3 linked regions of the Oryctolagus cuniculus genome follow. Each later gene encodes a partner of the first gene's protein in a complex. Links are inferred from orthologs where the notes say so. Each region holds a gene or a part of one and is shown on either strand. Other genes may lie near its edges.

Evidence for each region. The genes of interacting proteins can lie anywhere in the genome.
Region 2: CCNC (region 1) and MED4 share a complex: the UniProt entries of both Homo sapiens proteins name them as parts of the mediator complex. The link is inferred for Oryctolagus cuniculus from reciprocal best matches to the Homo sapiens genes CCNC and MED4.
Region 3: CCNC (region 1) and MED31 share a complex: the UniProt entries of both Homo sapiens proteins name them as parts of the mediator complex. The link is inferred for Oryctolagus cuniculus from reciprocal best matches to the Homo sapiens genes CCNC and MED31.

The regions. Positions count from the first base shown.
Region 1 is NC_091436.1:72,161,034-72,164,683, reverse strand, and holds part of CCNC (cyclin-C), read right to left. Parts: intron 780-3,650; coding exon 673-779; intron 1-672. UniProt on the Homo sapiens protein: Component of the Mediator complex, a coactivator involved in regulated gene transcription of nearly all RNA polymerase II-dependent genes.
Region 2 is NC_091440.1:67,126,203-67,129,952, reverse strand, and holds the start of MED4 (mediator of RNA polymerase II transcription subunit 4), read left to right. Parts: upstream 1-1,490; 5' UTR 1,491-1,571; coding exon 1,572-1,696; intron 1,697-3,750. UniProt on the Homo sapiens protein: Component of the Mediator complex, a coactivator involved in the regulated transcription of nearly all RNA polymerase II-dependent genes.
Region 3 is NC_091448.1:49,926,777-49,930,526, reverse strand, and holds the start of MED31 (mediator of RNA polymerase II transcription subunit 31), read right to left. Parts: upstream 2,560-3,750; 5' UTR 2,331-2,559; coding exon 2,303-2,330; intron 1,302-2,302; coding exon 1,224-1,301; intron 1,009-1,223; coding exon 912-1,008; intron 1-911. UniProt on the Homo sapiens protein: Component of the Mediator complex, a coactivator involved in the regulated transcription of nearly all RNA polymerase II-dependent genes.

The DNA of each region.
Region 1 (3,650 bases):
CAAAGCTAGTTCTAAGATAGGAGAGACCACTATATAATATTCAACTAAAGAATTATTTACTCTCCAAGTACTTTGCTTTAGCCAAGCTTAAACTGAGTTTGATAACGAATGATAGGGAGTGGGCCTATGCAAAGTTAAGACACCGCTTGGGATGCCCACATGCCTGATTCAGGTCCCAGCTCCTCACTTCTAATTTAGTTTCATGCTGATGAAGCACCCTGGGCAGCAGTAGATGATGGATTGAGTACATAGCTTCCTGCCACCCACATAGGAGATCTGGACTGAGTTGTGAGCTCCAGGTTTCAGCCTGGCCTAGACCTGGTTGTTGCATGCATCTGGGGAGTGAACCAACAGATGAAAGATCTGTCTGCCTGTCTGCATCTCTCAAATAAAAATGAAAATAAAATTTTAAAACTTTTTGAAAACAGTAATAATCCATTACTGAGGCCTAGGAGATCAGTTAACATTTTAAATTGCCTCGAGTGCCTCTGACATGTAAGATGCACAAGACACTTCATTTAAATCACTAAAAAGATGAATATAAGTCATAAAAAGATTTATGTACAAATAAAAAATTTAAGTATGGACCATAACCATGAAATTACCTTACAAAAACATTCTCATTCAGGGGTAACTACCTACACAATTTCAACCAATTAAAATAATGTTTACCATTTGTAAAAAATATTTGTAATTTCCAATATTCTTCTTCTGAGAGAAATTTTAAGTCCTTTTGGCGCTCCTTCAACAGATCTTGTTTATCCAAAATCCACTGCAAACTAGGAAGAAGTAGAGATATTAAAGAAGACATGTAAAGCAAAATCACAGAAAACACACCAAAAAAAGCACCTTGTTACTTTAAGAGGTACAAAGAGATGGAGTAACCTCAAAAGATAATATCTCTCATATTTCTTAAAATGTGAATTACCAGTAAGAATTATTGGGGTGGGCATTTGGACAACTGGTTAAGCTGCTGGTTGGGACACCAGCATCCCATTATCAGAGAGCCTGGGTTTCAATCCCATCTCCACTCCTAATTCCAGCTTCCTGGTAAGCAGCAGTGATGGATGATTGCTGGGTCACCACCACCTGTGTGGGATATCCAGCTTGGGTTTCTGACTCTTGGCTTCAGCCAGGCTCAGCCCCAGCTATTGTAGATATTTGGGAAGTAGGCCAGCAGACAGGAGAGCAACTTGTCTTTCAAATTAAATAAATATCTTATTAATAATGCAAATTTGTCCAGAAAAAAATTCCACACAAATCTTTTCCTTCTTCCTCCTCTCTGTTTTGTATTTCATTGATTCTAAGTCTCTGATATCAAGATGTATCTTACGATCAGTTATGCTTTATCATTTACTTGGCAGCATGTTTTTATAGAAAATTTTATTTATTTATTTAATATAAAGCAGAGTGGCAGAGAGAGAGAGTGAGAGAGATCTTCCATCTATTCATTCACTCCCCAAATGGCTACAACAGAAGGGTAGGGCAGGTCAAAGCCAGAAGCCAAGAATTCCATCCCAGTCTCCAGCGGGTGACAGAAACCCAAGCACTGAGGCCATAATGTGCTCCTTCCCAGGTACCTTAGTAGGAAGCTGGATTGAAACCAGAGCAGCTAGGACTTGAATTGGCACTCCAATATGGGATGCAGGCACCCCAAGCTGTGGTTTAACCCACAGGGCCACAAAGCCCACCCCTAACTGCCAACATGTTTATTCTTTATTAGTGATGTAAGCTTATGATGGAATTATTTGGCACCAATGATGGTGCTTTTAGACTTAATGAAGTGTTATCTTTTCTCAATTGTCCCTGAGTAACTAGGGTAGTTTCCCTACTATAAATTCCAATCATGTTAAAAGCTGCTTCACAATTTTACACAGATAGACTCCTTCTCTTGCCTAGTTAAGTACAGTATTTTTAGTCAGATTTGAAACTTATATGATAAAAAAAATTTAAACACTATTTTGCAACCTGTTTTGTTATGTCTTTAAAGCACTTAACTTGTTTTTCAGCATCCTCTTAAATAAGCTGCACAGTGTTAAGGATGGATCATTATTTAGCCGATCCCTATTGATTGGGATGTAGGTTATCATTTTTTTTTTACTACCACAAATAATGCAATGAACATCCTTGTAACTGATCCTTGCATATTTGATTAATAATATATTTAAGGGGCTCGCACTGTGGCATAGTAGACTAAAGCCAGCATCCCATATGGGCACCAGTTCTAGTCCTGCTGCTCCTCTTCTGCTTAAGCTCTCTGCTATGATCTGGGAAAGTAGTAGAAGATGGCCCCTGCACCTACGTGTGACACCTGAAAGAAGCTCCTGGCTCCTGAACTCTGGCCATTGTGGCCAGTGGATGGAAGACCTTTCTCTCTCTCTGTAACTCTACCTCTCAAATAAATAAAAAGTAATAATAAATTCAATACAATTTCCTAGAAGTAAAACTAATGGGTAAGTTGTCATGGTAACTTTGATATACACTGTCAGTTTGCATTCCGGAAAAGTTATACCAATTTCCATTCCTATTAATAATTCATGTGTCTTAAGATATTTAACTCCATGAGCTAATGCCAATATTTCTCCCTTTCTCTGTCTATAATTCTACCTCTCAAATAAATAAATAAAATCTTAAAAAAAGGAACTGGAAATGTTTCTTCTTTATTTATGAACTGGAACAATTTCAATAGCAGATCCTCTTAAAAGCTAACAGGAATTTACCCACGAAATAATGTGAGACTCAAGCATTTTTCAAGGAGCTCTCTGGTAATTTTCTTAATTTGTTTTGGCTTTCATATTTATTGCCAAGGAGATGCCCCAAGAGTTACTCTGGGTTTACTAGCTTTCCAAATTCCTGATTTTTATATATTTTTGTATTATCTTATCTTCCTTGATTTAATTAGTTTAGTGTATTATTTTTTTGTTTTCTCAGAAATAACCGGCTCTTATAATTTTTTCCTTTAATACATCAAAATCAGTATTACTTTATTGTGTTTCTTTCAATTTCCATAAATTTGTTTCATTTTTAATATAGCATTAATATTTAATTTATTTTTATTTCTTCTGAGTTATTCAAGACAATGATTTTCTAATAAATTCAGTTTTGGCTATATCCCAATTATATAGATCTGATTTTCTAGGTACAATGTAATTGTATTTTTTCTCTTTGATATAATAAGTTGGTTTTATAAATTTTTTAAAAGATTCATCTATTTACTTGAAAGGCAGACTAGAGAGAGGGAGGGCTGGAGAGACAGATCTTCCATCTGCTGATTCACTCTTCAAATGACCACAATGGCCCAGGGCTGGACCAGGCTGATGCCAGGAGCCTGGAACTCCATCCAGGTCTTCCACATTGGTACAGGGACCCAAGGTCTTGGGCCATCTTCCACTGCTTCTCCACGAGCATTAGCAAGGAATTGGATTGAAGTGGAGTATCCGGGACTAGAAGTGGTGCCCATATGGGATGCCAGTGTTGCAGGTGGTGGCTTCACCTGCTATGCCACAACACTGGCCCTATAATTTTTATTTTTGTTACCTACCCATTAATTTGTTCAGTCAACCATCAAATATTTACTGCCCTTCTAGTTTTACTGAATTTTGGCCAAAGAACAAGTTTTGTCCTACTTCAACATTCTCAAATACAAGTAT
Region 2 (3,750 bases), on another chromosome or scaffold:
CAACGGCAAAACGAAGACCTTTCTCTCTGTCTCTCTCTCTCACTATCCACGCTGCCTGTCAAAAAAATAAATAAATAAAAATAAAGAGTTAAAAAAAAACACCATGGAAGCAACCCAAACTTCCATTATTGGATGAACAGATAAGCAGAAGGTGGTATAGACAAGTAATGGAATATCAAGCAACTTCAAAAAGGGAACTCTGACACTTGCTACAGCATGGATGAAATTTGAGGACATTTTGCTAAGTGAAATAAGCCAGTGACAAAACAGACAAATAATGTATGATTCCACTCACACAAAGAAGCCGAACTCACAGAAACCAGAAGGATGCTGCTTTCTAGGGACTCCCTGGGGCGTGGGGAGGAATGAAGCTAGATTTGTTTTATGAGGTGTGAATGTTGCAGGCATGCCAATCTCAACTTTTATTCCAAGTTTTTGTCCCTGCAGAGGTAAGAATTCAAAACAGAGCAATACATACAGAGCACGAGGGAGAAGACGATTTATTGAAAGAGTGAATATACATTCTCGTGTGAGTGTGGGCATCCCTGCATGGAGAGATGCTTGTCATGAGTGGGCCAGAGTTGCCTAGGAGGAGAGAGAGGGCAAGGAGACCAGAGAAGGACCGTAAGTATGCTCCTGAAGCCAAAAAAGCAAAAAAGGAGTGTTTCCACATTTATCAGTCCCTTTTGTGAGGTACTGGGTGGTGCTCTGATAAGTATGCAAACAGCATGGAGTTCAGTGTGAGGCAGTTTCATGGTGCCTTGGCTAGCAACTTACCTTCCACGTGGTCATTATGGTTCCCTTCCTTCCTGATCCCTGATGAGGCAGGTGCATCATGGGAAAGGGGGCACACTGGGTTGACAGGTAAGGGGGAGGAGTTGCCATGCAGGGTTATGCAGAAATTCTGAGAAACTATTCCAGCTCAACTCTTTCTACCTAATCTTCATGCCTAGTTCCCCCATCATTAAAAAGAGTTTTCTAGATGCACAATAGTGTGAACATATTTAACGTCACTGAACTACACACTGAAATAGCTAAAACCGTGACTTTTACGTTTTGTGTATTTTGCTACAATGAAAAAAAATAGGATCACAAATGGTTTTGGTTCCTGTGCTGAAAAGCTTACTGCAGCTTCCAAGAGCCATGCAACAGGAAGGTTAGAACAGCATCATGGGAATGCAGACTGCAGAGACAATCCTGGGGAGACACCAGTCGAGTTTATGAAGAAACGGACATAACAGGTAGGCAAGTAGGTAACTCCCTGAAATGCTCAAAAACCGTTTGGGAGAAGCCTTCCATTGCTGCTTGAAAAACCAGAAGGCCCAGAAGAATCGGACTGAATCGCCCCCTCCAGTCTCACTCCTTGGGCGCTCCCTGGGTATGTAATGGAGAAGCCCGGCTGGTCCAGCAGATGGCGCTAACGCCCATAGTGCGCCTCCAGTCGCCTAGGCGGCGCTCTGGCGGTACCGCTCTTCCCTACGTCTCGGTGACCCTTCCTTCCGCTTCCCGAGCCCGCCTCTTCTCCCACTAGCGCGGAGGTGCGCCTGCGCTGGTTCCTGGCCCTGGGGAGCATGGCGGCGTCTTCGAGTGGTGAGAAGGAGAAGGAACGGCTGGGAGGCAGCTCTGGAGCGGCAGGCGGTAACAGCACGAGAGAGCGGTTGTTATCTGCGCTTGAAGATCTGGAGGTCTTGTCGAGGTAATGGCGCCGGCCTGAGAGCCTGGCTGGGGCTGGGCTGGGGGACTGGCCCCGGAGCCCGCCGCCGCCGGCCCTCTGCGCTCATTCCTGGGTCTCGGCGGGGAGGCCTGAGCTTGGGAGTCCCCGGTGCTTGAGTGTTAAGGATATGGGGTCTGCAGATCTCTGGGACTCTGGGCAACACTTTTTTCTTTGCCGTCAGAGAGAATTTTAGTCATGACAGCCACCCTGGAAGTCCAAGACGGCAAGAGCCAGAGCGAACCTTAAGAGGTCTCGCGTTGGGAGACTGGCACTAATGGGCTGCCCCTTGGGCGCCAAGCACTAGGAGACTGTCGTGAAGGGGAGGCTGGGTGCCGACGCGGAGGAGCCCGGGGTCAGGGAGAGACAGGTGGGTAAACAGTGCTGGTGCGGGGCTCGTTCTTGTCCGAGCAGTGCGTTGCGGGCCCGGGAGTGTAGTCAGGGCAGGCTTTGGTTGGAAAGAATGAATTCATCGGACTCAGCAGGTGGCAGGGAGGTGACATAGTGTGTGCAAACCTTGGAAGTCGGAGGCCCCAGGCCCTGGCGGAGTTGTAAGGTGCTGGGGATGGCCGCAGAGCAGCATGGGAGACGGGATGGGATCTTGTTCTGCAGGCTCTCAGTTTTCACGGTCGTCTTTCAAGTCGGGGCCTTCCTGTCTTCTGTGGTTAACCTGGATCTAAGTTGTGTTGTTTTTGCAGCCTGCCAAAAGTTTCTACTTTCTTTTGTACTTGATATACTTTGTCATTTTATACTGCTGAGCACCATCGTTATTTTAAAAAGCATCTCGCATCATTCTTCTTAAAAAATACTCGATAGCCCGTATAAGCAGAGTCAGGCCCAGTGTCGGGTTTCTGTCAAGGAAAGACCAGATATATGATTATGCTGTGGTGGTCCCTTAGGATTATAATGGAGCTGAAAAATGCCTGCAGCCTCGTGGCCTTGTTGCCCTCTGTGCTCGTGTTTGTGGTGACGCTGGTGTGAATGGGCCCACCTGCTGCCGGGGGCGTGAAAGTGTAGCACATACAGTTACACACAGCCCCTCATTCCTTTTCTTTAAGGTTACTTATTTGAAAGGCAGAGTTACAGAGAGAGGGAGAGAACGGGAGCGAGCTTTTCCATCCACTGGTTCACTCCCCAGATGGCTGCAAAGACCAGGGCTAGGCCAGGCCAAAGCATGGAGCCTGGAACTCTGCCGGGGTCTCCTGCCTGGGTGGCAGGAACACAGTACTTGGGCTGTCTTTCGCTGCTCTCTCGGCACATTAGCAGGAAACTAGATAGGAGGGGTATCTGGGACTTGAACCCGGAGCTCATATGGGATGCCAGTGGTGGCTTCACTGGCTATGCCATGATGCCAGCCCCCGTCCATAATTCTTGATAATAAATGACTGTTACTGATTTATGTATTTACTGTGCAATACTTTTCATTGTTATTTAGAGTTTATTCCTCCTATTACTTAAAATTTAACTGTTAAGCAAAGTGCCACATTCTGCTGGGAGCAGCCTCCTATACCTTGTTTTTGCTGGGAACTGTTGATTGCGTCAGGCCACAGCAGGTGGCCGCTCCTGTCTGGGTTTGTGTAAGTACAGTCACCTCACCGTGCATTTGAGGGATGCCTGACTACTTCCCATGTCACCGCCAGCTGTACTTCGTCAGTGCCATTCCTACTCTATCTCTAGCTGGCTGAATGATTGAGTTGTCTTTCAGCATCTGTCTCAAATGTCACCATTTCCGTAGCCAGCATTCTGTGACAGCAAATGCCGATCTGCTTACACTCAAGATCAGTACTTTGTCTTTGCTGTGAATTTAGCCCTTGCTGTACCATTACTTACCAATGTTAAGTACAACATTTAGTGATGTAATGAAAACCTAAAAACACGCAGACAACAGAAGGTAAATGGCTTATAAGCTTCATCCACTGTTTACATTGTAGTAGGATCACAAACAGGGCACCTGGAATTTTCGGTCAGCCATTGCTCAGTACAGGAAACAAACTCACAGGCACCAGGCAGCTGTCCAGGCTTTGCCTCCAAGTGTTTAC
Region 3 (3,750 bases), on another chromosome or scaffold:
TTCCGCATTGAAAGGGAATAGGTTTCTGGTCATAATATGCCCCTTGCAAATGTAATTGGCCTTCAAGTCAAAGTGTCTCTGGAACAACTTGAATGGCAAACACACATACACGTAGTTCAAAAAGTTTGTGGAAAAACCTGAATTAAAAGCTTATTTGGATATAAAAAGCTTGTAGTCTATACTTGGTTATTTCATATTACACAATTTTTCAAGAACTTCTGGAAATCCCTTACACATGGACTCCAAAAGTTTTTTGCACCAATACAAACTCGTCTTTTGGATCCATTTTCCATTTACTTTTTGAAGGACCGGCATGTGTACGGAAACAGTTGTGAGTGTGCAGTGTTTTTTAGTTATTGAATGCAAAGCATTTGGGCACAAAGATCGCTGCTGGAAGACACAGTGACATCCTCCACATCTTCCTCACAGGTACTTCTGTGTGATCTTTTATTATCAGTCAATGGCTATGTTGCTGCATGTGAGGACCAGAGTCCTTCAGACCAGAAACCCAGAGAAATGGGGAGACTGGTAGAGAGGAGGTCAAGAAGACTGGGCCAGATGCGGCCGGGCCGCAGACTTCACTGCCAGGAAGGGAGGGCCCCCCAGGTCTAAGGAACAGACAGCATGTTCTAAGCTACAGTTCCCAGGGACCACATCGGCTTCTGGGTAGAAAATCGCGTTGCTTTATTGGCTTTGGGTGAGGTAGTGAGGAAAGAGCAGAAAACAGAGCCAACAGTGAGTGATTTCTGCAGGAATCCAAATTAAGAGGTAGGCAGTGACAACCGAACGCGCAGAACGTGCAGATTCAACATACATTTTTACCAGTGTGAAACTAAGAAGTATTTACGTATCCACGTTTTGGGTTTTAGTAAAACATACATACACCGAGGATTACAAAAAATTAAACTTACTTTAGATACTTGGCATATTCTGGTTCTTTCCAGTACAGCAAGTACTTAAGATAATTAACAAACGCTTTGTCTTTGAAGTAACCTCTTTGAGCAAGAACTGAAAGGCATAAAAAAAAAAACAAAACCTAGGTCAGACGGATGCTTGGACTACCACCAGCCCACAAGTCCTAGTTTGCTCAGTTACAGCTACAGAATTGCTTTAAGTGCAATTCTATTCAATTGAGAATATATAAAAGTAGATACTATTAGGAAATGCAACTCTTGTCAAAAAATCATTAATAGCTATTCAATTTAATTAGGTGAACAACTTACAATTAAGGTAATTTGGGTTGGCTAAACACTGTACAAATTCCAACTCTAACTGAAACCGAAGTCGATTTCCAGCATCATCTAGGAGAGAAGACAGCAAAAATCATCCAAGACAAAGGTCGCTAAATACAACACCGATGGGTCGAAAGGAAACAGCAGCCAGGAAACCTGCGTAATGCTGAGCTACACTTCTGGGAGGCATAATTCCTTAGGAACCTAAGAAAAGGAGAACTCTGATTAAGGCAGCTAGAAACCCCTCTAACGTTGAAGAGAAGTCATCAGAGACAAGGGGAACACAGATGCGGCAGGAGACCTCCCTCGGTGGGTCACTGGAGCCATCTCAGCAGTGAGTGACCGGGTATGGGGTGACAGTCTACCTCCCTGTATTTTATTAATACACTGTAGCTACTGTCGATGGCGGTGAGGAGCTCCGAGTGCGAGCTAGGAGACTGCGGAGCGCCGGAAGACCCCGAATGGCAGCATCAGTGGCAGGATAACGCAAGTTGGTCCAGGGCGCCCCAAACTCATGCAAGCTCCCGCGGAAGCAGACCCAAGTGCTGTCTGGTGACACGACTGTCACTTTCAGCCCCTGTTTATGCTCCTGGTGGTCTTCCTACTTTTGACTGGCTCTATATTACGGTTCGTGGTGAAATAAGCCGTTATTATAGACTGTATCAAATTTATGCCTTGGCAACAAAAAAAATGAAAAGTAGGGGAGGGAACGCGAGTGGGGGGAGGAGGAGAGAGGGAAGTATGGGTCTCCTGGAACTGTACCTATGCAATCTGTTCTCTTTATACTAGTTTTTGTTTTTTTTTTAAAGAAAAGATTCCAGTGCTGTCCCTCAGTCTCACCCACGCTGGGACGAAGGTGGGGTCGCTGAGTGAACAGCAAGCGGGGAGAAAACATGTGCGAAGCCACCAAACTCTGAAAAAGGCAAAGCTGCCGGCACCTTCCCAGATGCTCCAAGAGCCCTCTCGCCTCCCGGGTCCCACTCCAAGCCCCTTCCGTTAGGCCTGAAGGAGGCCCCGGGCAGGCAGGAGAAGGGGTCCGGGCGGAGCGCACGGCTCAGAGCGCGACTCACCTGTCTCCATGGCGACGGCGGCGGCCATAACAAGGAACGACGCGAACTCTCACCAGCTCGGCAGAGACTCTGCCCAGTCTGGCTGGGGAAGTTCCGGAAGCCTCAGCACCCCGCTTCCGGCCCCGGGGCACTGTGGGATACGGGGGCGGGCCCAGCCGCGCTGGGAGGACAGCGGTTCCGCCCATCGCTGCTGGCTCCGCCCGCTCGGGCTCCTGAGCCGGGCGCTGCGGCCCGGGGAGCGCCGTATTTGGAGGTGTTTCACGTCAGCGTGTAGTGGCATTGCCGCCTAGGAGGCAGGTCGCTACTGTGACGTCATTTCTCACCTCGTGACGTAGCGTAGAGGTGTGCTGAGCGGTCCCCTCAACACCTATAGAATGGCCTCGGCCCTTGGGGGAAAGCCGTCCTCACCCCAGTGTGGACACCTCGCCTTCCAGGAAGCGGCGCCCTCGTGCCCTCCCGAGTGCTCAGGGCCTCGTCAAAGCGGCTGGAGGCGAGGCTGCCTACTGTGTCCAGCCGGGTCCCCCAGTCGCCTTTGGCTTCCTGGAGGCAGCCCACATGTCGGTGTGAGAAACAGCCCAGCCGCGGTTCCTGGGTTCCTGCGCGAGCCGCGCCCTGGGCCTCCCCACGCGTGACAAAGCCCGCACGCGGGGCTGACGGGCAAAGAGGCGGAGAGTGGTGGTATAGAGGGATGGACGGGGAAGGCCTTGCTGGTTAGGCCACAGTGGAGCTGAGACCTGTGTGGTGACACCGAGCGCCCCACCCCCACCCGGGGGTCTCAGCGGAGTGCACCCTAGGCCGGAGGAAGAGAAGTGCGAAGGGTGTGTGGGAGCAAGCTTGCAACGTTCCCCGAGAGAAGAAGGGAGAGCTGGGAGCTTCGTGTGTGAGAGGCAGAGAGGGGACGGCAACAGGCAGGACCAGTTTCTAGAGGGCCTTTGAGTCACCACGGGAACTCAGGTTCTAGTCTAACAGGAACACGCTGCATAGTTTTCGGCACAGGACTGACATGATGCAACCGCATTTTTAAAATACCTTCTGCCTTCCGTGTGGGCTGCAGAACAGTTGTTCTCATCCTGGAGGGGGGGGGGAGGATTTTGTCCCCCAGGGGATACTTGGCGATGTTTAAAGACGTTTGTGTTAGGTACAAGGAGTGCTGCTGGCAAGTCGTGGGTAGAGGCCAGGGATCCCAGCACCAAAACCACAGAATCACGGGGCCTAACGTGTCAGTGGTGCCCAGTTGGAGACGCGCTGCAGCTGGGAGAGGAGAGGCCTGGGAGAGGCTCCAGAGGAGGGTGGGAGGCCGTGCCCTCCCCTGGACAGTGTGTGTGTGTGTGTGGGGGGGGGGTGTCTGTTGCTTTTTGACCCTGCCTTGCAGTCAGTGATTTACCCAGCAGGACAAAGGGGTCTTCCAGCAGGCCAGCGATGGCCCAATTGTGTCTACTACTGGGAGC